3 linked regions of the Arabidopsis thaliana genome follow. The protein of the gene in region 2 interacts with the protein of the main gene of each other region in a pairwise test. Each region holds a gene or a part of one and is shown on either strand. Other genes may lie near its edges.

Region 1 (6,815 bases), on a different chromosome or scaffold from region 2:
CAAACCTTTTAGATCTAAACCAAGTTGAAAATATCAACTCAAAAACTAGAATTTTCCTATGTTTTGGTTATAAAGTTATTTTCAAATATCATAAATACCATAGAAAATTGACTAAAAATGAAACTTATTTTGCTAAAAAAGTAAAAGTTTAAGAACTGAATTCAAAGCTAATTAAAAATTTACCAAACTATATTGGATTTGGTTTTACATTGATTATTCTTTAAAAACAATACTAGTAAACAAAAACTAAAATCCAAATCAAACCATTAACATGTTAAAATCTTTATGTGGTTAATTGTACTATTACAGAAAATTGAAATAACTGAATTTCTGTCCAAATTTAGGTCCTAGTCAATATACCAAATTGATGATTTAATTAATTGTTCTGTCATTATTTAATGCTAATGATTATATTGACTAACATTATTTTCATTGTTGTGAATCATATTAATTCATAGTGTTAGATAATTATTTTGGAAACTAAATGTTGACTATACATTTTCTTCAGTGTAAGTATCATTTTCATATTTACATAGTATGAATTAAATATATATATATATGTATTACCATATGTATACATAAAAGTTGACTCTTGAATTCTTTATTTATAAATTGTTTTTTTTACTTCAGATGTTTTCTTGTTATTACATTGAGACTCTAAACTGAGAATTGTTTATAATTGTTTTATACAAAAAACTGAAACAACAATACTTTTAAGGGAAAAATATAAGAGAATAATATATTCTTAAAACTCTAATGGACATCTTGTATCTTTTTCTTTTTCTTTGTTTAGCGATCTTTTTTCTCTCATCGTTGTGTTGTTGTGGTTGAATGTTTTCTTTTGTGTACGTAGTAACTCTCTTTGTTTCTCGATTTTGTTTTTTTTGGATTCGGTTTGGTACTACTTTGCCAGATTTCAATAATACCAAGATATAGAGGAAAACAATAAAACTAAGCTTTATTCCACATTGTCTGGTGATCTTTCATAAACAACATTGTATGATTTGATTACCAAAATAATCGGTTCTAGAAAAGTTTATGTCAATCTCTATCTAGTATATGAATCACCATACCCATATTTGTGCACTTAAATTATTACGTAACCAAGATATAGAAAAGTGTTGTGATTTCATATAACAAATGAAAATATAATAATCTATTTTGTTGTGTTTTGTATATATAATTATTATAAATTAAATTAATTATTAATATTGAAATATTCATGTATAACCCAGTCAGATATGGGATTATTTTTAATTTAAATTTTGTATAATACTGTTAAAAGATTCGAAATATAATCATAAACAAAAAATAAAATTGATTTTTTCTTGTCAACTTCCAATAAACACCATAGTAAACAAGAAATCACAGGACAAGGGAAATACAGAAACGGAGAACTCTTTTTAGTCAAAGAAAGCTAGGATTCGGACAAAATCATGTCCAAACACTTTGAAGGATGATCGATACAAAAAATTGTAAACTTGAATATGAAGTGTTGGTGTGAGAATACCCAGCTCGAATAATGTAAATAATCTTCTCAACGACAACAATTATGCATCCAGTGATGAACACTTTTTGAAAACGTGTTTCTCTCCATAGTTTCTACATTGATGATTCCTATATTACTAAAACTTAATAGAGATATGTGTAAATATTCTCAGAGATAAACAAAATATAACTATATATAACCTCTGAAACTCGAACAACCAAACAGAAATTATCATATCCTATCAATAATTATATATTAAGGTAGGCACACTGTGAAGGAAGTGTTGAACCAATAAAATTCCCATACAACTTTCCACCATCTCCTCCGATTCTCTTCCACATATACATACTTTATTGGAACCGTAATCTCTTTTACGAATTCCTTGAAAATAAAAATCTTCAAAAAAATAATAAAAATACCCTCTTATTTATCTCTATAGGTAGTAAAAAAATCCTCCAAAATTTTGCATGCAGAGCTCCTCATAGAATGCAATCTCTTTGATTCCTCTCAACAATGAATCTCCAATGCTCTTGACCGACCTTAGGGATGCTCATCGTATATAATATGATCTTCCACAAAAACAAATTAATAGAATTCCCCCAAGATGGGATCAATAAAATCCCAAATACTCCCCCAATTATGACTATATTCTTCTTCTCCTCCAAAAGGCCAAATGGTCGAAGATCCATCTCCAACCATATAACCCGGATCCAGACCCATAGAACATACCGGATCAACCAACGGCGGTGGATGAGTTATTGATAGACTCGAACCCACCGAACCAGCTAGAGAGTTCAAATCCTCCATCGAACTATTATTATTACACCCACTTCCTCCTTGTTCCTGCCCTAACGCCACCTCATGATGAAACGAAGTCGAATTAGTTACCGGAACATCAGTGAGCTCGATGTCAGAAATCTTGTTATTGTTAGTATTAGAATGAAGATTCTGATACTGTTGGTGTTGGAATTGTCCCATCTGGACCATCTGATTTTGTTGTTGTTGTTGTTGAGGGAAAAAACCATAACTAGGGCATAACATAGAGGTCCCACCATTAAGGAAGATGTTGTTGTTAAAAGGGATACCGTACGGACCAAAGTTGGCTCCTCCTCCTACGGTGGCGGCGGCGGGGCGAGGGAGGAGAGGTCTTAGGGTTTGAGTGGAGGAAGAGGAGGTGGAAGGAGAAGAAGCGGCGGAGACGGAGGAGGAAGAGGAAGAGACGGAGGAAGGAGACGAAGGGGTTAAGTTGAGCTGAGCACGTGACCCGTATAGGTAAACGGCAGCCCGGTCGTAGGCACGTGCGGCGTCTTCGGCGGTTGCGAAAGTACCAAGCCACTTGCGAGTGCGCTTACGTGGCTCTCGGATCTCGGCGACCCATTTGCCCCAGCTTCTTTGTCGAACGCCACGGTAACGGAACTTGGAGTTGTCCGGACCACCTTTGCCTTTGCGTTTGCGTTGAGCGGAGGAAGTTGATGAGTCGGTGGTGGAATCGGATTGAGGATTATTATGGGTTAGGGTTTGGTTATTATCTTCCAGATGGTTGTGTTGATGTTGGGAAGCTAAAGGGTCCATAGATGAAGAAGAAGAAGAAGAAGAAGAGGAAGAGGAAGTAGAGAGAGAAAGAGAGAGATTAAAGAAATTGAGAAAAATAGTGGAGAGGACGAATCAAGAAGGAAGGGAAACTGAAGAGTGTTTGAATGTCATCGTTGTGAATGGTCGATTAGGGCGGTGCTTCTTTTATTTATACTTACACTCTCTTCTCACTCACTTCTTTTTTTCTTTTCTTTTTACTTACCCGTTTGTTTTCTACCAAAGAAGAAATTTGTGTTGTCATAAGTTACTTGTTACACATTGGAATGTAATCAAGGATATTATAAAAACATTTAATTGCTTTCTTTCTTTTGGGTAACTATAGCAAATCATGAGCGATATATAACAATATCTTGAAGTTGGTTCTTTTCTTTGATTGGATGGGTAATTGTGAGAAATACTCGCATGTTGAAAACACTCCAAGGCATTCAGATTTCAGAGGATTCAACCAGAGAGAACTGAATCAAATTCACCAAGGTTAGGAATATTGCAACATATATAAGAGAAATAAGCGTGTTCAAAAATATATATTAAGAGAAATAAGAAACGAATAATCTAAGATGGAACAGAGATATCATTTTTGTTTGTTTTTCTAAGTACTTGTCAATTTAAATTGTAACAAAAACATAGCAAAAGATAGGCAATTTAAAAGATTAAGAAGATCAAGTGAATAAAACAGTAGACAAAGATAACAAAGAAAATGATTTATGAGTTCAAGAATTAAAAGCATCGTTTAAAGTTGGCAAGCAATGAAACTAGAATAAATCATTACATAACGGCTAACGGGGGCTGATTAGCCATAAATTGTAGAGAATGAAACACTAATCAATGAATAATTACAAAGCGTGGCATGAATTACCCAATTTTGTTCAACTCTCTTGCAATTTAAGTGGTTAACAAGCATTAACAGATAAGTATACTAAAAAGGATCAAGGTAATTAATCTACCATTACCAACAACCCTAGTAAAAGATCTAAATGCATTTTTAATAGTGATCTTTATATTTTCCTCTATTTATAGAGGTGACTCTATTTTAAAGGCATTATGTTCAAATGGTCACCTCTAAAATAGAGTTTTCTCTATAATAGAGGAAGAAATAGAAATATTTACTTTTTGTCTCTATAAATAGAGATCTCTACAATTCATCTCTAATTTTTCTTCTATTTTTGAGGAAACTCTATTTTAGAGGTGACCATTGGAGCACAATGCTTCTAAAATAGAGGCACCTCTAAAATAGAGAAAATTATAGAGGTGACCATTGGAGATGGTCTAACCATATTCGCCCCTAATTTGGTTTTAATCTAACTTTTAGTGTTGAACTTAACCGAAGCTTCTATACTTGATGATTATGATCTTAGAGAAAAATTTAAGCTGTTGGGAAATCACCTTATGATACTATTTTTTTGATGTTTTATCTTTATACGTAAAATAAAATTGTAAACATAGATATAATTAAGGGATCGGAGGAAAAACATCTGGTACAACACGTATCATATTTTTGGACATAAGTAAAAACTAGAATCATATTTCTGGAGTAGTACTTGTTAAATTTTGGAGAAGAAAAATAAGTTGATTTGCGCACTCGGAGAGTGTTGCAGATCCATTGCCTGCTGCAGCCACTGGAGGGACAGAAATACAGATGCAGAGAGACACAGTAATTATTTTTCTGCTTTCATTACATAGATATATGTGTTCATTTAGTCCACTTAACACCATTCTTGGAAGACGACTTGGCTTCAGTCAAATACTTCGTCCGATAGATTTAGATTTTGGATACTACACCTTTTATTAATCTTAAAAAAGAATTATGTAGAAATTTAAAATACTCACATGTCAATGGATAAATAAATAAATATATTAAAAAGAGGAGTTATAGTGTAGATATTTATGTACGCTTCTTCTTTCTTTTTTTGTCATCATTTATGTATGCTTCGACTTTAAGAAATATTAAAAACAAAATATAACTGACATTTTTTATAAGAAAAGGAATTTTGAAAACAGAGAGAAGAGAAGAGAGTTTATTTTTTTGGTCGCCTAGAAAGACTAATCTACCGTATAGATTATGATGTTTGACCCACAAATATAACAAATGGAAGACCATTAACGTTTAGACTTTTTTCGAAATAAAAACTTGACTTCTTAGATCTTATACCATTGAAATTAAGAGACAAATTTTCTTAATATTCTTTTACTAAAAGTAAAAATAAATAAAATAAGAATTTGTTGAATTATCTATTGTTCTTATGAATGGTAGCATATACATGACTCCTTTTAATCTATAAAACATAACTCTTAGAACTATCGTCATAATAACAAGTTTACTTAGAAACTTTTCATTGATACTACTAATATAGAATTAAAGATTCGTCTGCAAGGGATTTACTTTTGTTGTTTGCCAACTACAAAACTATCAATTATTAAACGAAGAGAAAAATAGGAATATTGCATGGGAGAGATGAGGTGGCGAGGAAAGAAGCAAAGACAGCAAAAGAACCAAAGCTTTTTGTGTTGTGGTTTCTGAGATCTCAACCCAATTGCCTTGGAACTCTCACCTTTTTATGTCTCAGCAGAACCCAACTAGTTGCGCCATACATTCATTTTCTTGCATTTATCCACTTTATTATATAGTATCAATCAATATAGCTTGATTATTCCAATCTCAATCATTCACGTGAAATTTTGTATAACAATGACTCAAACATTTGATAACATTAAAGAGACATTGTTGAAGGCTTTTTTTTTAGTCAAATGATTTCCAGATGCTTAAGTTAAAATGATGACTATATCAAAAGGCAAAGAATTTCAATGCTTTGCTCACTAAGTTCTGCAACGGATCAAATATATGTTTCGAAAGATAGAAAGTGTTCATGTTTGAATATTTTCATATAAAAAAAAGCAAATGGTTGTTGCGGCAGAGGAATATTGTCGAGCAAGATGATAAAAATATTCACATGCCCACGATTACAAACCGTGGGCTGCACTTTAAACAACAGCTAAGATTATGTGTGCGTCTATATAAAAAAAAAAATGAATTCTCAAAAAACCTTTACGAAATTCTCAACCAATGCCTAAGGAAAAACACCAGTAAGGTCCAAAAACTTGTTAACGATTCAAAACATTTCTATTTTCCAAAACGCACAGTGAAATGAATGCTCTGGGCTAATAATGCCCAAGAAAAAACACCAGTAAGGTCCTAAAACATATAAAGCCGTTATAGGCTTCAAGAACCTCAACTCAAATCACTCACCAAGCCTCTATAGTATAGACGATGGAGAAGCATTCATATTGGGCTTTCTGGTCCATTCCTTTTTTATAATCCGTCCATTTTAAGTGTAAGGTTTAAATCCTGAACAAATTAGCTATATATTTCGAACGAATTCTGCAACTATACACAAACTAAACAAACCTAACCAAAACCATTTATTTGTATCTGTTTACAGGTAAAGGGTAAATTTCATCTGAATCTTTGCCGATCAAAGCCTTTGTTTTTTTGCTTAGTTTGTTTGATGTTGGCTATGTTTATTTAGTTTGTTAATGAATCAATTATACGGATTCTAAGATTGTGTAAGTAGCTTCGCAGGGAAACAAACGTTTTTCGGGAATAGACCATTTTTCCCCACTTCTATCTTGAATCTCACAATCAAGATAACTAAAGTACTTCAAATGTGTTATGAGTTATTCCGATGTATGATAATTCTTAGCGTTTTGCTTTTCATCGATAACACCTCGAAATCTC
Region 2 (9,262 bases):
AAGAATTAGCACAAAGAAGAAGATAACATGAAGAAATCTCAAAGCTTCCATGCCCATTTCTCACAAAGAGACAGAGAAAGAGAAAGAGAGGTTAGAGAAGGGAAAGGTAAGGACTTTGAGTTTCAAGACTGGTCCTTTGTAGCAGAAAGAGAGTGTTGACTACTTTGTAAACACTTTAGTCAAACATCTCAACGGCTATGATTTAAACTCAAACCGTATTGATTATTAACCGTCCGATATAACCAAAAGTTGGAATCTTTATAATCAGAAAGTGTAAACCGGATTGATTGCTTACCGTCCGATCAAGTGTGGCTTAAAGCGATGGACAAGAATGGTATAAATCTACTGATTACTCCTGAATTTATAAAGTTACTTTTCTTTATAACTTTAATTGATTAAACTATAAGCACGCTCAAAGTTCGAATTAAGACTTTTTCTTCTGCCAAAATAATAAAATGATGTTTTTTTATCAAGGTAAATGTTTTTGTGTAATTTGGTTCATGGGATGTTTCATGCTCCTTGAATCTTGACCGTAGATGAGTCATTGGAGACATGAGATGAGTGAATCAACGGTGGATGATGGAGAAGGTGGAGAAATCTTAGATAGTTTTGGTTTCTCTAGAAGACAATTTGTTGGAAGTACACAGAAAATGAAGAGCCAATATTTTGAAAAATGGGAAATGTGAATATCTAAGTGAGATGAAGTTATGTTGTCTATGTCCTTTTGTGTATTGTCTATTTCGAAATTTCAGGGGTGTCAATCGAGTAGACCGGTCAGGTGTCCGAAACATATTTTGGATTTGGATTTTGACATCAAACAAGATTGAGTAATTTGTTTTATTGTTGGATCAAACACGCTCAATTTTTTTTGCGTAGTATTTTTTGGCATAGAAAAATAGAAGGCTTGAATGGTAGTAGTTTATACTTTATAGCATAGTTATTGGTTTTCCAAAAACCCATTTAATTATCCAATCAAGATTAGAGTTCGCATTTTTGTAAACAAAATGAAAAATAAATCCCACTTTAATGAGTTTTTGATAATTGTTTGCAGATTTCTTTTTGTAATTTTAAATCAATATTTTTTCCTTTTGGCAAAATCTATAATCCAAAACCACTTAAAAACTCAAATATTCATGGCCAAAAGTTGTTTTCTTAAACCTAAGCATATATAGATAGGAAAACAATTTCTAATATACTGTATTTTACAATGGACTAGTAAAAGTTTATGAATGATGTGAAAACAATTAGATATACTGAGTCACAGCAGACTAAAAAAAAATTTTTTTGTTGAAATAGATATCAAGTTTGGCTTTTAGTAATATAGAAGTGTCTGAATTTGGTTAAAAAATAATCATAGATAAAGAAATTTATAAAAGGCATCTGATGGTTACTTTGATTCTAATTGACACTTTTGTTCCAAACATTTGTTACAAGTCGGGAAAATTATTTATTGTTGTATACCTCTAAGGTGGCTACACCATTTCGAAATTCAATCCTTTTGGAAAATGAAAAAAATATCTATACATTTTTTTTTTTTGAACAACAAAAAATATCTATACATGTCGATCATATATTCATATGTAGAAAAAGGCATATATTGATGATAATAAGACCACATAATTAGAGCAATATATGTTCTCCAGATATAAATCTCATGCAACTTTATAGAAGAAGAAGTTAGAAACATGAGGAGTCCTTGATTAGATTACTGAGACAACTATGTATGTCACGTCTTTATCAACATCTGAAACTATTCAACTACCACGCTGCTCCTTTTGTAATCAACTTCACTTTCATAAGATCAGATTATTTCATCAACTCCACTTTCTTTTTTGTTTCTCATAGTCTCATTATAAGTCTTTTGTTTTCAAGTTGTCAACCGTCTCACGGCTTTCTAGTAGGGCCTGAATGGAGAAAGGTGTGGTGTGGATATTTGGCACGGGTCAGATCATTGTTTTTTTGAATATCTCAATTCCTTAGGTGCGGTCCAGTTTTTGGGTTTAACCAAAAATAAGAAAGAATAATGATGTATCACAAACAACACACTTATATGAGGAAAATTATAATCCTACCTCACTTGTTTTTTTCCTCCAAAGATTTTCGTTACTCAATAATACAAAGGGTTCAAGCTAACTAGATAAACAAGAAAATGATAGAATCAAAGTGGTAAGGAACAACTCTTCTTAAAATGTCCATATGTAAACATTCTATTTACAAATATTTACAATGTGAATATGTGAATGATATGGATAATTTTGTACATATGTCCATATGTACATTAATTATCATTTTGTACATTAATTATCATTAATTATCATTTTTACTATCATTAAATTGTCCATATGTCCATATTTACAAATAATTTTGTACATTGATAATGATAATTAATGTACAAAATTAATTATCTCAATTCCTTCTTAAATTGTCCATATGTCCATATTTACAAATAATTTTGTACATTAATTATCATTTTTATTATCATTATCAATGTTTGTGTAAAAATATTGTATCATTCAACTCTTCTTAAAACATTCACATTATAAACGATATGTAAGCTCGACTCAAGAAATGAGCCACATATGTAATATTAACCAATTACAACAACAAAAGAACTATATAATCATCTCTCCAGAAATATAACACAAACACCATTTCCAGAATTAATCATCTCTACAATATCCTGAAGGTAAAAAGAGTAAAGAGTTATAAAAGAACCGACTCGACAAGAAAAAGCAAAAAATGGAGTAAAAACCCGGACCCCGACCAAACAGCTTTAATCATGACCCTCCATTTGTCTTCAAGATCCCATGCATGCACGAGAAGTGGCACACTCGGGTACGCTGCCATTTTTTCCTTTTGCCCTCTTTCTTATTTGGTACATAATAATATTTATATTGTTTCTTTTTGTCTCTGTTTTTCATTTAACAGTTTGAGAAGTTGGTGAAGCGACCACCACATTCGCCGACGGAGAGTTATTGTTTATGTTCCTTTGCGACTTGTTTTGTCTCTTCGTAGCTGCTGACGACGGTGGGGCCTCCGGCTTTTGTCCGCTCGGTTGTCTTACTTTAACCCCTCGTATCAACTGTCATAATATTATTCTCAATTAATTATGACAAGATAAATACCAACAAAAGTAATGATGAGAGTTAAATACTAATGAAAAGTATAGAAAAATATTGTGATGCTTCTCTTACATATTTGCCACATTTGACGTCGGAGTATATGACTATGAAATCACCTTCTTGGAGCCCATTGGTTTTCACAAAATCGCCTGTAAACGTAATTTCAAGGAAAATTAGATATGTATGCGTCCACAACAATAATTACAAGAGAACAAACAAACCAAAAGAAAGGAAAATTATTAACGGGTACATTTTCAAAAACGTACCGGTGTTCTCGAGGAGATACATCCTGCTTTTGTTGTTAGGCCAAAACCTGCAAAACCAATTTAAGAAGACAATTAAATAACCGAAAAAACATTTTGGTCGAGTTCCAATTTTTGACAAAATACACGAATTGTTTTTATAAAAAGAATCAATGTTAACATGTTAGCATCATAATCAGTTACCTGTAGCGCATGTTCCAAACACGAGAGGTTCCGATGTCTTCCATGGCCAGAGAGATGCCGTCTCTTGCCTCTAGCTCCGGCAAGTGTGTCTCAGCTTCTTTCTAAAAAAAATAAAAATTCAGTAAAATATAACTTAACCAATAAGAGTAAAAATAAAATAAAAACTTGACAATATTTTTACACAAACATTGAACCTTTTTTAGAAAATGGAAAGCAAAGGCTACAAGAAATTAGAAGAAAAATTACTTTTGGCAAAACGATCCTTCCGAGGTTACCCACGTCGCTTTGCTTCAAGACTTTCTGCAAGAGAAACCGCAAATTCTTTTCTGGTTTCCATCCCTAAAATCAAACCAAAAAGATCAAAATCATTTCATTTCCATTGCAAATGTATAATCTTCCGATTCACATTTTATCAAAAAAAACACATGTAAAATCTTTAGCTTCTTCATCAAACCAAACGAGTGGTGCAATTACACAAACTATTCGAGTATTGCTAAATTAAAGAATAAACAATGAGAAAGATGATTGTGCATGTCTACCTGCCGGCGATCTGGTACCACCTGCTGACGTGGCATAGCAGAAGCTGAGCCAGCTCGGTCCATGGTAGGTAACTGAGTCTCCATCACTGGCGGTAATTGAGGCGGCACTGCCGGGACATTAGGCCAATACATCCAGGTCCCTCCCGTGGCGGTTGTGGCCACGGGGTTAAGTTGTGGAGCCACCGCGGCACAGGTTTCTCCGATTTGGGTTTGGTTCTGCTGATTATTGTTGTTGTTGTTGTTGTTGTTGTTATGTCTGTGGTGATGAGACAAGAACCTCCTCTGTCTCGCCATCCGTTTCTTTCTTGCCTCTTTAGTTGCTGAGGAACACAAACGGAGTAATCTCTGATCTCTCATTTGTCCTGCAGGAACATAAGGATATTGGTACGGATTCATGTTGTATCCATTGAAACCTGTTGGATCTCCAAATTGATTATACTGCGAGGTTGGCGGCATGGGGAATTGTTGATGTGGCATGGGACCAGACTGTGGTGGTGGTGGCCATGACGGTGGAGATTCAAGTAAAGGAAGGAACTCTGGCTGTGGCGGATAGTTTGGAGCAGGCATGTATCCAAAACCCGGGTCCGAGACAAAAGCTTGTTGTTGTGGTGGTGGAGGAACCCATGTTGAAGGTGAGAAACAGGTTTGGTCGGACGGTGGGATTAGGTTGTTGTTATTAGGGTTAGGGTTTTGAAATGGATCTTGTTGGAATGATTGTTGATAAGAGAGGTTGGTGGTGGTGGTGGTGGTGCGTCTTCTTTGTAAGTGATTAGTTTGGACCCATTCAAGAATCAGCTTTAAAAGCTGCTTCATCGCTTCTTTACCACCGCCTAGTCTTCTTGCCGCTGATTCAATCGTAGCTTTCTTTATCTTTACTTTCCTCAAATCCTCAGCCGACACAGTCTCCTTGTTGTTCTTTAGCCACTCCAAAAACACAGCAGCGAGATCATCGTCCTGTTCCAAGGAAGAATTCATCATTTGCATGTCTCCACCACTGTTATTCTCCATCATCGGAACAACGACCTGGTCTTCTTGTCTCTCAAGGGTTTGGTCCATCAAGTTAGGGTTTTGCGTGTCGTCGTCTTGGCTAAATATAGCTGAGGTGTCAAAGAACTCGTTGCTATCAAGTAGATCCATGTACCCGAAAGTCTCCATCATATCAATGCAATCACCACCGCCTTCGCCGCAACCAAAACCTTGACTGCTGTCTAATGGAATCTCCATGGAAGCTGTGGATTGCAATGCACCAGAAGAGTCGTCACAGTTTCCTGATGCGTATTGGTTTTGGTTTGGAGTCGGATCTTCTCCATCTGATCTCAATATAGCCCAAGAAGCAGCTGAGGAAGTGGAGGAAGAAGCTGCCGAAGAAGAAGAGGCTGAGGAGACGATTGCGTTGACAGGAGCTGGAGATGTTGAAGACGATGATGAAGACGACATGCATGGGAAATCAGGAAGCGTTGGGAGATCTCCATAGAAGATTGAAGGGTCATGATGAACAATCAAATCATCATCTTGATGACCATGAACATGATTATTATCTCCTCCATGGTCATCTAACCAGATCTCTCTACCAACTTCATCAATTCCATCCATCAAAACAGTATCATCAGCGTCTCCACCGAGTATTCCACAATCCTCAGCCAGATCTCCGGCGTTGGCCGCCACATGCAAGCTTTTCATCGTTGAAGTGGAAATGAAACAATAAACTAGATTGGTGGAGAGAGAAAAGTTAGGGTTTTTAGTATTTTGTACGGACAGATAGGGTTTGTATGTGAGTAAGGAGGCAAGGAAAAAGAAAGTTAACCCAACTTGGCTATCATCGAATCTTTAAACAACATAAACTATCTGGCTATACATATACATATAAACCTTCTATACTACTATATAATCTTTTGAGATTCAAAAAGAACTCTTGATAAGGTTAAAATTATACAAAAGAGACGAAGGAGGATCCAAAGCATATGAAAAGATCCGACCTAAGCTAACTATTTTCTCCAACTTCAGATGAACAAAGACCAATTGTAAAGAGGTCTAAAATTTTCGAGTCTAGATCTGAAGTATACGAGATGTGTTTTGTTCACAAAGATTGGTCTTTGGTTCTAATAGAACAGAGAGAGATGTTTAGGTTTTACTCTTTTAGAGAGGAAGAACTGATGAACAGCTAATAAGTAATCTAAAACCGTTTGGGTTTACTCCAACAAGAAGACTCTCTCTTTCTTTCATTTTATAAATTATGGAGAGATGGTATATATATATTTATAAAACTATATAATAAACATGGTTAAATCCCTCAAAAAAGAAAATAAATTAAAATAAGAGAGCCCATGTGTTCCAGTTTGTTCCATGATTTATATGGAAGTTTTTTTTTTACTAATATAATTCAATTGTATTGTATAAAATATGTTAGATTAAACTGAACTCTTTTTTTTTTCTGGCGGTAAGTGTAATTTTGGGTTTAAGTTATTCTCTTTCTCTTTGCAGCATTCAATTACCTCAGCAGAAGGAAAAGGAGAGAGACAAGAGTTTTTAAGAAAAAGAGATGTAACAGTTTTTCAGCATTTGATTTTTCAAAGAAGACAAAAAGCAAACGTTTAAATTTGTGGCACTATTGACAAAATTGTTGAGCTCATAATACTTACAAACATTTAAAATTTTATTTAGATAGTAAATCTCCCCTCATCTTCTAAGAAATAAAAACAAAGTTCCTCGAGAGAAAGACATTGGTTTTGAAATTAAATGGTGCAAAAAGCCATATTTAAGTCGATAAAAAAACTTAAAAACAAAGAGAAAATAGAAGTCTCCTCGTGCCGCTAGTATCTAAAGGTTGGTACAGGAGTTTGTGCCCACGAGCCATACGTTCGAATTTGAGTGGTGAGACCAAGCGGTGGTTCTTAAACACTTCTTTTGTATAAAATATTATAAATTTTCCAATTATCAACTTTCTACTTCCTATGTGCAAATGGTCACTTTTACAAAAGTAAGTTTCCTCGGTCGGTTTTAAATTATCTGGCCAAAAAGATTCGAAAAACTTACACTTTCCTATTGAAGTGGAAGAGGCAGACACGGATTTTATTACCCTAGAACAATTACTTTAACATATTGTAGAACAATGTATGTTTTTGTGAGTTTTTTTTCTTCTTCTTTCTTTTCTTTTTTCTGCATGAGGAAAACAAAACAAAACTTTTAGTGTATTTGTAAAATATTTAGTTACAAACAGGGTTCGACCTTGCCTTCAAAATGAGATTGAGCAGATCATGTGATACCTGTTGTAGAAAGAAATAGGTACTTGTATTTATTACATTTTAACACATCAAAATTTTAGTGTATTTTTTTTTCTTGGGAAAATTCCTATTTTCCCGATTACATTTTAACACATCAAAATAGGTACTGTGTTTTATAAATCTGAACAAACAATTAGTAATGTTCATACTTTAACATTTAAAAAATTCAAATTATCTACCTCAACTCTTACTTTTGTACATAATTATGAGTCAACGTTAGTTATGGTAATTAACAGTAACGGTTGTTGAATCAGCTAACACTTGTACGTCGAGATGGCATGTTCTTCAAACCAAATGACGTTGTTTTACGTTTTGAGATTCAAAAGTTTTAAAGGTTACCATTACCATCATGCACGAACATCATCAATATATAAATAATAATTTATAGATATATACACATACATAAATTGGAATTAAAATTAATCATATAACGTCGGTTAGGATTTCCCCAATTCTAAATGACATTGTTTGATTAATTTAATTCCAATTTGTTGCTATATATCTATAAATTATTATTTATGTCTCGATAATGTTTGTGGATACGATGGTGATGAATATGTGAGGTTGGGGGTTCCAGTTTTTCGGTTTAGTTTTTTAAAAGTAAATATTTTTAATCCCAAAACATAAAACAAAATTATTTTATTAAAAAACATGCCACCTAAACGTACACGTATCAATTGAGTCAACAACCGTTACAGTTGACTAATATTTGTTAATATTGACTTGTAATTACGTACAAAAGTAAACGTTGAGATAGATAATTTGATTTTTGTAAGCATTGATGTATATATCAGTACTAGTCGTTTGTTGAAATTCAAAAACATACTTTAAAAATTGTTGGGATCGAAAAACCCTTTTTCTTTAGTTTAAAATGAAATCTAAAATGTTAGAAAACCAATTGTAAAAGAACATGTGAACTTTGTTTTACTATGCGTACTACAAGGAATACAATTTAAATCAAAATTTAGGTACATTAATCATCGGATCGTCTATGATACAATTGATAGTGAACAAATCAAAATAAAATTAGTTATGGGATTATTTGCTTTACCAAATAGTATTAACATTAGTCACAAGAGGGTGATAATCTAATAGTTTGCCGTATTTTCCTAAACTCTAATGAAAGTTTCATGTCTTTTCAAATAAGTTATAATAAATGTAGTTAAATTTTATGGTCTTGATCCATAAAGTGATGTAAAATCAGTGTAAACTACTCGAAAATAACAAAAATATTTTAAAACATCTATTATTTTCCCAAATTTATTTGGAAGGATTTTAAATTCCCAAAAATATCTATGAAAATAAAAAAATTTAAATTTGAGTATTGATGACGAGAAAAGGATTTATGTAACATAATTTAATCTTGGCTCCAAATAATTTATGGTTTTCAGCCTATTTAATAAAATTAGAAAAGGTTCAATTATATTAGAAAACAAATAAATTAGTGGTATTATTATTTGTTGTGTTTGTGTATTTGGACGATGAAAAATATTGTACACTAAAAATTGAAAATTTTATTTGGAACAAAACTAGGCAAAAAATTAATATATATATATATATATATGATATTTGTGACTTAATTTATTTAATATATATCCGTCCGTAACTAATGTATCTTTTTTGCAAATTTTGGAGATTTGACTAAAACTTTAACATCAACTAAAAGAAAAAAAAGAAAAAAAAAACTAAGAATAAAAAGCATTATTCATTTTAAACTTTTTCTTTAATTTTTAATAGTTCCAGCATCTTCAAGTTTTTTTTGTTTTTTCTTTTCTTTCTAAACTCTATTATAAAATAATATTTTTGTCAGCATCACTATATGTTTTACTCTAAAATAGAGTAAGTAATAGAATTATTGTCTATTTAGAGCATCT
Region 3 (10,644 bases), on a different chromosome or scaffold from region 2:
GTTTCATTGAGAAAAAGGGGCACTTTTCCTTGAGGGTACATGCTTTGAAAATCTTTACTTTCGATTTAGAATTACAACTTTTTTTAGAAAAAGGATGGAATTGAGGAGAATTATTTAAAAAAATTAATTTCGAATTTTGGAAATTTGAAATACTCATTACCCGGGTTTGGGATTGAACGCAAGACCTAGCTAATGTACGTAGGATACTACCATACTAAGCTCTTGATCAATCATTAAACGGGCACTTTCAACAACAAAAATGTGTAGACACAATTATGCTGTATGTTTCTATCATCCAGCTGAAGTTATAATTCTGTCATCCATACTTCTATAGTTCAAGAAACATTTTTTCCACAAAAACTGTTAGTACTTCAATATCCCATTTAGAAAAAAATAATCCCATCACATGTCCACAAGCAAATTTCTAAGATTTAATATTCGATATTAATAAATGCGAGACAGACATTAAGAAATTAATACAGTGCACACAATAACATAATCTCTATTATTTTTTAATCTTTTGATTCCAGTGGCAAATAGTATAAGAAAACAATTAAAGGCCACAACGTAAGCGAACTTCACGGCTTAAGTGTTTTGAGACCTCTACTTGCCAACTCACTTTTTTGATATTTTTTTAAAGTTTTTTTTATATCATCAAATCCATAATCCATTAAATTTTAAAAATAATATTTCTCCTTCAATCTTTTTAAACTGCGCGATTGCTTCAAGAAACGGTAGCACAGCTGACACAAAACTGATACTCTTCCATATAGTTCAGAGATCGAATAGAAAAACATATTTTTTTATAATGCATTTCAAACAAAAACTAATCTATTACTTCCACTACGTAAAAAAACGTAGCATTGTATATATTTTATATTTTCATTTCGTGAAGGTATATATCACGTACGACAAAATTTACTTATAAACTACACAATAAACACATGAGATATTCGACACAATAAGAATTACTTGCATAACAAGATTAAACCCTTTTATAGGTTGTCTCTCCGCAACCTAAGGTGTCGTGCATAGAGTAATTTAGAGAGGAGAATTACAATCTTAATTAACTAATCAAGCAAATATTATCAGAAGATGCACCTAACGTATAAAGTTTTCATATCTCCAAAATAGAATCGTGATGATATCTGAATTTTGATGGTAGGGCCGTCGTTGTGGAAACCACGAGTCTCAGGTTGAATTAATATTTATGCTATGGAAGAAATCAAGAATGCAATTAAAGATGATATAACATCAAGAATCCAAATACTTTTTTTTTTCATGAGAAGAATCGATTACACTGACTTGTGTTTGGATTTGATGCAACAAGTCTCCAGTTTTGGTCTCCTTTTCATTGGCATTTTGTTTATCCTCCCTGACAATATTCTTAAGATGGGTCTATGAGAACATATGCTTCTCATTCGTAACTTGAAATATATCGAATAACCGTAAACGTGAATCATTACTTTGTTTTGTCGTTCAATGTTGCTATTGCCGACTTGCTTTGATGGTAATATCAAGTCAAATGTTGATCTTGTTTATAAAATTTAGTGGTACTACAAAAAAAAAAAACTATGACCATGGATTCTTCTTAGTTGCTCTAGGATAAAAGTCCATGACTAATTTAAGTTTAGCTCTTTATGGTCATGAATTTTTTTTGTAGCAAGCTCGTGGCTAAAATCCCAAGTTCTAGAAAGTTTTCCTTAAGATGAATGGGCATTATAGATTTTACTTTCATTTTTATTTCTTGCACTACTTTATTTTCTTGAAGATACAGATCACACTCGACAAAATTTACTATCACCTACACAAATCCACACATTAGATATGATACAAAATACAAAAAATTCTTGCAGGACTAGCTTGAACCCCTTTTCTCCATTTATGTCGTTCAGAGAGTAGATTACAAAGATGAAATGGAATCTGATAAAGGGCTTTTACGTATCACTCCATGTATCGCTTTCATCTCCATCTTTGCTAGCTACAGCCTGAAAAGAAGAAAAGAGTGAGTGATAGATAATGTTGTGTTGGATTTAAGACAAAAAGTACTTAGATTCTGAAATAAAGATTAGATTTGCTTTGGATATATATAGATGCAGAAGTTAGAGGATGAACCTGGCGTATTGAGTTTGCTTTCTCCAAAATCGCGCTGATCTTAGTGTTTATGATAGGGTCAGTTGTTGCAGTAGCCGATGATGTCGTTGTCATGACCACAGGCCTAAGGTTGAATTGCTTTGATTTGAAAGAAACCAAGAATGTAGCAAAAGATGATATAACAAATCAAGCATCAGAATATAACTTTCTTTCACAAAAAGGAACTATTTGCACTCACTTGTGTTCGGATTTGTTGCAAGAAGTCTCCAGTTTCAGTCTCCTTTGCGTTGGCACTTTGTTTCTCCTCCCTGACATTATTCTTCAGATGGGCCTATGAGAACATATGCTTGTTAAGATTCGTAATTTGAACTATATTGAAAACGATCATCTGGAATATATGGAACTGACCCACACTGTAGAAAAGTAGGAAGAAAGAGTCAAAATCTTCTCCATACCTTAATTTCTGGTTTAGGAGCAGAAGTCACCATGCTAGGCAGTTCGTTCTTAGCTGTAGGCAATGAAATATGCTTCTCAAACGCAAACCTGAGAGCTTCTTGTAGTTGTAGGGACTGTGTTTTGTCTTCCATTTTCTCTGAAGGTGTCTTTGAAACCATCCATTGCATGGGTGGAAATGGCGGTGGTAAGGGCTCAGCAGGATTTTGGAGATATGAGAGGTTTACGGCGACGCAAGAACTTTCTGATTTGATCCCTAGAGGGGAAGCTTCAGCATTGTTATCAACATGCCTACTTTCGTGGAAAGAATCATATAGTTCTTGCTCTTTTCTTCCATGGCTGTCACTGGATTCTTCCCACGGCTCAGAATTTGACAAGGAGTGATTATCGCTAAGATAATCGGTATCTGACATGTAAGGAGATGATCTACAAAAAGTGTCGTCGTCAGAATAAGAATCAGGAAGGGAAGTTCCAGTCTCTGGAAGCAACTGGAAGGAGGAAAAGGTATTGTAAGTGTTGTCTCCATCTGAAAATTTAAGCTTCAGTCTCGAAGCCTGAAGAGTGTCAGCGGGATTGAGAGATATTTTCATGTGTTGAAGAGGCGGAGACGAAGTGATCCAATCAATAGGAGCTTCGTCTCTGAAGGGGTCCATAAAGGTTTTCTCATTAATATCTTGGTCACAAAACCTCCTCCTCTCTGTAGTCACTTCATCGTTCTCTGGAATCGTTGCTGGTACAGTCTTTCTATCATGTGCAAATGAATCCTTTCTGCGGAAACCACTAGTAAGAAACTTGTGGCTGAGTCCAAAAACTCCAGAAGAAGTCTCATGGGACTCTCTTTGGTCTACAATACCCATGACTATGCCATTTGAACTACCTGGATTTTGGGTTCCTGGCGTTGCTAAGCTTGAATTATTCAGAACATGTCTATGTGAAGCATTTTCAACTAGATCATCTGCTTTATCTTTTTCAGCTTCTGCAAAACCAACTGTCCTTTCCTCGGTCTTGCAATCTGGACTTAAAGAACTTGGCATTGCCAAGACTGGAGGTTTCGATGGTTTCAGTCCCAATAGACCACCATTAGTCCATATTTTAAAGGCTTCGAGATCCCCAGAAGATTCAGCTTCTGTTTCTTGATTTTCCTGTAGGCCATGATGAATCAAGGGGTTTGATGAATCAACTAAGCTGTTCTCGAGACCTGGCACAAATGTAAATGTGATGGTATCTTTTCCACCAGAATCATTACGCATATCCTTGTTTGCACAAAGATCATTTTTTTGTAAGCGGTTGATATCTGAACCCGCCTGTAGATTTTGTTGATGCATTTCAACAGATACATTTTCTGACGATGCATTCTCTTCATTTTTAAAACTGTTGGCCATAAGCCCATCCATTGATCTGCAAGAATCTTCGACACTGTAGGAATTCTGCTCTGTTTCTTGCTCACACACTGACTTTTCCAACCTCTCATCTGCAACACCACAGGAACTGCTCACTTGACTAGTTTGAAGCCCTTGATTGTTTTCAGATTCTGATTCGATAGTATTAAGCGCATCAACAAAACACTCCCCTTCGCTTTCAGTCTCTTGTTCACTATCCCTCGGTTCTCCCACAATCTCCCGACCATTTTTTATCTCTCTTACCTCATCAATCCCAGCACGTTTTCGTAGTCCTGATTCTGATTTATCATTTTCATTGTCCTTAGAATGGAAATCAACTCCACCTATCCCTTCCCCATAGCTTGGTTTCTCATCTAGAGTATCTACAACAGAGTTCGCCTCCACCATTTCAGAAGCTTCATCTGTCTGCAGACCAAGAGATTCCACTATCTCTGCTTTCTCATCCCAACTAACGCAAGAAGAGCCACGAGCAGCTTGCCCTTGAGAAGGACTAAACTGGAAATTATCATGAGCATCTTCGGTTTCACATTCAGAAAGGACTGAAGCAATAGTGCAAGAGCCTGGTGTCAAGCTGGATGAAACGAACACCCCTTTCGGTCTTTCTCCAGTCTTCAGTGAAGAAGTTGCAGTTGAAAGGCATTCATTGTAGCCTGAACCACTTCTGGACTCAAAAGAGCGAGAATGATGATCTTGAAAATCATATCTTTTTTCCATGTCACTGGTTGAGGTGGTTTTGGTAGAAGAGGTTTGTCCACTGAAGCTAAATGAAGCAAATGTCTTCCTGGAGTGAACTATGTCTGAGTTAATTATTCTTTAGGTGCACGGAAACTTAAATATGCCAACAATATCTATAATTTACCTGGCATTCTGGTTAGCCAAGGAGGCCAAACGTGACATATCTCGACTCCTTGACGAAGTTTTTTTCTTCTGTCCATGCCAGAAAACAGATATATATGTGTCAAGTAAAAGAGAATTCTACAGAAAATGGTTTACCAATTTAATCTGAGAACCACACCTTCATTTTACAATGCTTTTTATCTTTTTGGAACTTCTTGTTTCCTTGACTCAGGTTGCTTGATGCTCTTCTGAAATAAGTAGGATCTGAGTATCGCTTCAAGCAAGATCCAGGACCATTTATATCAAATCTGAGAAAATAAAGCAAAGAATCAGTATAACATGATGGATTATAGTACATAGTACATACATATCAGATATAAATATTTTAGCTTGAGGCATACTTATCAAGCAAGTGTAACCGTGGAGGACCCCTGCATTCTTCATAGGGATCCATAATAATGTGAGGCAAGTCGTCATAAATTAAGTGATTTTGCGTAATTGGGATACGAGGATGCCACTCCAGACCTGAACCCCATTAAACTCCTTCAGTTCACAAGATATAAAGTAAGAAAAATACAAGCATGACCACTTTCTCACCACCCATTACTTCCACGGTTTCAATACAATAAATAAAAGTTTGCCAAGGGGAACCAAACAACTAATACTATCAATTCAATTTTAAGTTAATCTATTTTAAGGTTTTGCAGAAGATACAATGATTTAGTTTCTCAATCATTCCAGATTCTAAACTAGCCTCGTCAGAGAAAGTTTTAGTTTTAGGGTAAGTGAAAAAGCATGTGAAGGCCTACAATGAACTAAGGATGTGACATAATTTATTAAAAGAATTAATGTGAAACCTAACAAGAATCAGACACCTTGGGTCAAGACAATAAGAAGATTGACAAGAGGGAAGAAGACAAAACAAACCTCCTGTGTATGCAAAATGTATATGAGTTGTTTGTGCAAGCATCGCCTTTTCTAGTGGAGGCACTGTAGCTTCTATATGCTGCAATCTAATCTTTAACTGATTGCTTCTTGAAGCTGTAGCCATAACTTCCTCCTGTATCCCATGAAATATCTCTGCTGCAAACCTTAATCAAGAGAAAAAGCAATCGATAAGAAAGTTTCTTCCTTTGTGCTAAAATGACCCTTATCAACCAGAGATCACTCCAAACCCAAACTAAGCTTGATATCAGAGCCGACATAAAGAGTCACCACATAAGGAGTTGCTAAGAAACATAAACTAAGCTCATGAAACAAAACTAAACACAGCAAAAATGGAGAATGATTGATAGAAACATCACAACAATCATAGAATCATAAATGAATAAAGCTTCTTCCTTTTTGCTAAAGCTTAACTCAAAAACTTCAAAGGATCATGCAATCAAAATGGGTTCCCAAATTTGTAGCTACAAACACCAATTAGATTACCTTAAACAAGTAAAGGCAATTACTTTCACACAAAGTAATGATTCTCATCTTTAACTTCACCACTAGCTCAAAGAATCATTCAACAGTAGAGATACCCAAAAGAGACGCAACATTAGCTCGAATTGAATACTTACTCAGCGAGATCACCAAGCTGACGCAAGACCCCAACAAGTCCAGTAACTGCAACACCATTGAGAATTGCTTTAGGGTCTTCACGATCGACATTTCTATACACCTCGCTTTGGTTCATACCGTATACATTCCGTGGCATTTTTTCTCTTAAAAGGTACAAAACTGTCACACATTGAGATACAAAAAGTTTTGTGGCTAAAGCATTAAGAGAGCTGGGAAAAGGATTAGGAGAAAGAATCAAAAGGTTTTTTTTTGAAGAAATTGAGAAAATGGGTTTTGATGAAAACGAGAAAAAGGTTAATGATTGTTGATGGGTTTCTGGTGAGTGAGATTGATGAGGCAGCTTAACTGCTCAAAAACAGAGAGGGAAATTTTGGAGGCAGAGAGGGAAAGAGACTGTGAGAGAGAGAGACATTGACATTGCCAATATCGCAAGCCATTCCTTTCCAATTTCATTTACCAGTGGGGGGTTTACAGAAAAGTAGAAAGACCAAATTACCCTTGTATTTTGTGTGTTATTACGTGATGGGGTTTTGAGAAAAGAAGGATTTTATTTTTATTTTTGGTTCAAAGAAAGGTTATTGGTTCGCACGATATGAACATTAAATTCTAATTTTGATTACAGAATAAATGTTCGATTTTGTAATTTAAAAATGAAGTGGTTTTCGGAAAAAAAGTGAGAGAATGTCAATGTCAAATAAATGTTTCGTCAAGTTTTGTAGTTATTTGAGTAAGGATTTGTTTGTTTGTCAATAAATAAAATTGTTGGGTTGGTTACATGTTGAAACAAAGTCCAACGAGTGAGATGGACATATTACAAATAGTACGTTCTAGTATGATACAATAAATGTAGACAATTTTTAATTGTAATCGTGGAATTCCACATTTATAATTCTTGGAACTAGGTAAATTAGTTAAGCATATCCGATGCAAAGTGGTTTCTCCAATGCATTCAAGACTCCTAGTTTTCTATACAAGAGTTAAAATCACTTGCTCTTTATGTTTACATCCACCAGAATGTTTATGATTGGGAGAACAACCCCAACAATTGAAGAAGAAGAAGAGGCAGGGATATTATGTCTCAAGAATCTCACTACAAAAAAGGTTAGTTGTATCAATTAACTTGCAACAAAAATTTAAAAAATACTAATTTGAATTACTTATTTACAATCGATACAAAAATTATAATTTAACATCAATTGCAATAACTGATGTCGTATTAGTTTGTGTGACATCAGTTCATTAAAATTAATGCAAATCTAGGTCTATTTGCCTCACTTTCACAATATTAATACAAATATGTGAATTTTAATCATTTAGAAAGTGATACAAAATTTAAATCAATAATAACCGATGCTAATTACAGATTTAGCATCAGTTGCACTAACTGATATAATTGTTTATTCAATTTGTTTACATACCACATATCTCCCACAGAAGGAAAAAAAAACCTCCATAATTTTTTTATATATGTAAAGTTACATAATTCTGGTTTTAGATGGTGTCCAAAAAGTGTAAAGTTACTATCCCAACTAAATTTAAGTGTTCGCTTAATATTAATTAATAAAGATATTTGTTTCATAAAAACTAATTTAGTATTATTTTATAAGTTATTATAATTAATATAAACACTTAAAATTATTTATTATAAATGTTGCAAATATTAACGTTATTTTGATAAATTGATACAAATAATAAATCACTTATATTCAATGATGCAAAATTAATATCATTTTTTTGCAACTGATGCATATTAACATCGATTAAAATAATCACTACAAACAAACATGTTATACGGTAATGTTTCGACAGTTTAAGAGTTACTATATATGGAGGAGTGAACAAGGCAAACAACCACCAAAAACCAAAAAAAAAAGAGATAGCTACTAATATAGATCTTGGAGCATGCCAAATTTTACAAGAAAAAGACCCAGAAGATTATACTTTGGGGAGAGACCAATTTGGGTTAAAAACAAGAGGAAATCAAGAAGCAGTAATGTCATTAAGCATATAGAACACGGAAAATCATCTTCCAAGTGGTTTTGTTCAAGTTGACAAGAGAAGAGAGACATTTTTTTTTGTATCCTACAATTCGAACTTGCATGGAAGAAGAGACATCAAAGGATTTCAAAAGAACCCAAAACCTCATAATAAGACTCAATTGTATCTAAAACACCAACTTTGATATTGAAGAAAATCTTAATTTCATTCTCAACTAATATAAGAAGAAGAAGCATAACTAAGAGTTGTTGGTGTTATATAGAAGTGGGAGGAAGCCATACAGGGAGGCTGTCAAACTCAACCCCTTATGGTGTTTCAACTTGGTCTTCAAAATGACGGATACTTCTGGTGGCGATATCGTAAACACCAGATATCATAAAATCTGATCTTTTATGAACAAATTATACTTGGCGTTCGCTTTGTCTTTCATCCATCAAACATTATATGTATGATTGTATCCAAAAAAAAATAAAAAAATCATGTGATATGAAAGTTTTTCTCTTTCGAAAAAATAATCTATGCATTCAAAACAGAGTTCTAGTCTATGTTAACAATGCCATGCAATTTCATAATTATTTCTTTCTGCCTAAAATCCTTTGTATCATCTTTCTTATTCTCTTTCTGTGTAATCTACCTTCTACCATAACAAAAACCGAAGTTCCATAAACAGGTAATCTATTTTTGTTTTAAATTCTTAAACTGAATACAAAATATTTATCCTTTTGTTATAAGTTTTTTATAATTGCTTATATTTTGCTTATTTGGTAGAGTTGTACTGATTAAATATTTTATTGTCATATATGAGATAACTATATGGATTTTCTAGAATTAATATCTTTATAATTTTGAAATGAAAGAAATTAGAACAAAACAAATTTTAATTTTGCTTTAGACTTCTGTTATCTTTCGACGGGGCTTACGTCCATATAGTGTTTAGATTTAATTTATCAAACAATGAAGCTTTAAATTCAAAACAAATATTAAACTCAAACCTGATAATAAGGGTATGTATGACTGTAATATATAATCATATAAGAGATAGCAAATAAGTAGATATGATACAAACAATTTGTGTTAACACCTAGAGTCATGGTCTCATTGCTCCTACAATCATATATTCATATGTCTCGACCATTTTGCATATATAGGTTGTATGAAGTGTTGTCCATACAAAATAATATAATATCGGTGTTTGTTCGATTAATATTTTGTTCCATATTTTGTATTCAACATATTGCTCTTGTTGTAAGAAATATTATTGAATCTGTTTTCTGTTGTTTTGATTAGTCAAATTAATGAGCTTCCAACACCAGCTATAATGTGGCGGGAAAGTCACCAACAGTGAATAAACCAAATTTCATTGTGGCTTTGTAGTTTCAAAATAAATATTATACTCGAACCTGATGATAAAAATACGTATGATGTAATATACAAATATATAATCATTAGAGAAGCATGAAAATAAGTAGATACGATACAAACAATTTATGTTAACACTTAACACCCATAGTAATGGTCTCGTTGTTGCCAATACACTATTTTGTATTGTAGTCTATATACAAAGATATGAACTAGATAAAATTTCATTTTAACTCAAGTATTCGAAACTCCTAGACCGAGTGCACTTTTTAGCCGCCTGATCTTGGTGATCAGTTGGTACGTGTTCGAGGGTGATAGATTCTCAACATATATAAATGCCAGCAAGTTGCACTATTATATCTGTTATCATCTCTAAATCGATCATTGACTTTGCGTTCGGACAACCTCATAAAGGAAAGATCATTCAATAATGATTTTGTTGTTTTGTGAAAGTAATTGCGTAGGCTAATTCTTAGTATTAGTTTAGAAACTCGAATACTAGTTGTAATATTGTAGACTAATACTACGTAACTACCGATGATTTATACATATCTAATCTATAAATCGATCGTTGACTTCGTAGTCGGACAGCCTGTAAGCTAACACACGTATATAGTACTAACATTGTTATATGTGTAAGATGTGTTTTTATTACAATTAGAAATTCAGAAACACTAAGTTAATCACATTCAAACTCAAAATCTCTCGTTACTCAAGTAATCGTTCTCTCTCTGCACTCTATGGATTCTCCCGAGTCGAAGCTCATATCACTTGCTACTCAGCTCATCTCTCTAGACAACTCTTCGGATTTGGAGCTCGTATCATGTACTATTATTCAAATAATATCTCTCGTTAGCTCAATGGATTTGGATTCGCAGCCGAAGCCCGAGACGAAGCTCATGTCACTCATAGCTCAAACAATCTCTCTTTTCAACTC

Evidence for each region. The genes of interacting proteins can lie anywhere in the genome.
Region 1: the proteins of ABI3 (region 2) and ABI4 interact in a two-hybrid assay, tested with the Arabidopsis thaliana proteins (one study listed by BioGRID).
Region 3: the proteins of ABI3 (region 2) and WAVE2 interact in a two-hybrid assay, tested with the Arabidopsis thaliana proteins (one study listed by BioGRID).

What each region holds. Positions count from the first base shown.
Region 1 is NC_003071.7:16,794,525-16,801,339, forward strand, and holds ABI4 (Integrase-type DNA-binding superfamily protein), read right to left. Parts: upstream 3,062-6,815; coding exon 2,075-3,061; 3' UTR 1,723-2,074; downstream 1-1,722.
Region 2 is NC_003074.8:8,994,436-9,003,697, reverse strand, and holds ABI3 (AP2/B3-like transcriptional factor family protein), read right to left. Parts: upstream 6,329-9,262; 5' UTR 5,788-6,328; coding exon 4,108-5,787; intron 3,908-4,107; coding exon 3,815-3,907; intron 3,670-3,814; coding exon 3,569-3,669; intron 3,436-3,568; coding exon 3,389-3,435; intron 3,272-3,388; coding exon 3,195-3,271; intron 3,083-3,194; coding exon 2,918-3,082; 3' UTR 2,513-2,917; downstream 1-2,512. Other genes in the region: TMKL1 (transmembrane kinase-like 1), read right to left, coding at 1-57. UniProt on the Arabidopsis thaliana protein: Participates in abscisic acid-regulated gene expression during seed development. Regulates the transcription of SGR1 and SGR2 that are involved in leaf and embryo degreening.
Region 3 is NC_003070.9:10,188,415-10,199,058, forward strand, and holds WAVE2 (SCAR family protein), read right to left. Parts: upstream 6,800-10,644; 5' UTR 6,487-6,799; coding exon 6,350-6,486; intron 5,876-6,349; coding exon 5,712-5,875; intron 5,310-5,711; coding exon 5,186-5,309; intron 5,093-5,185; coding exon 4,963-5,092; intron 4,875-4,962; coding exon 4,807-4,874; intron 4,729-4,806; coding exon 2,550-4,728; intron 2,426-2,549; coding exon 2,333-2,425; coding exon of another isoform or gene 2,306-2,332; exon of another isoform or gene 2,233-2,305; coding exon 2,116-2,232; intron 1,989-2,115; coding exon 1,938-1,988; 3' UTR 1,723-1,937; downstream 1-1,722. Other genes in the region: AT1G29179 (cysteine/histidine-rich C1 domain protein), read left to right, coding at 10,448-10,644. UniProt on the Arabidopsis thaliana protein: Involved in regulation of actin and microtubule organization. Part of a WAVE complex that activates the Arp2/3 complex. Regulates trichome branch positioning and expansion.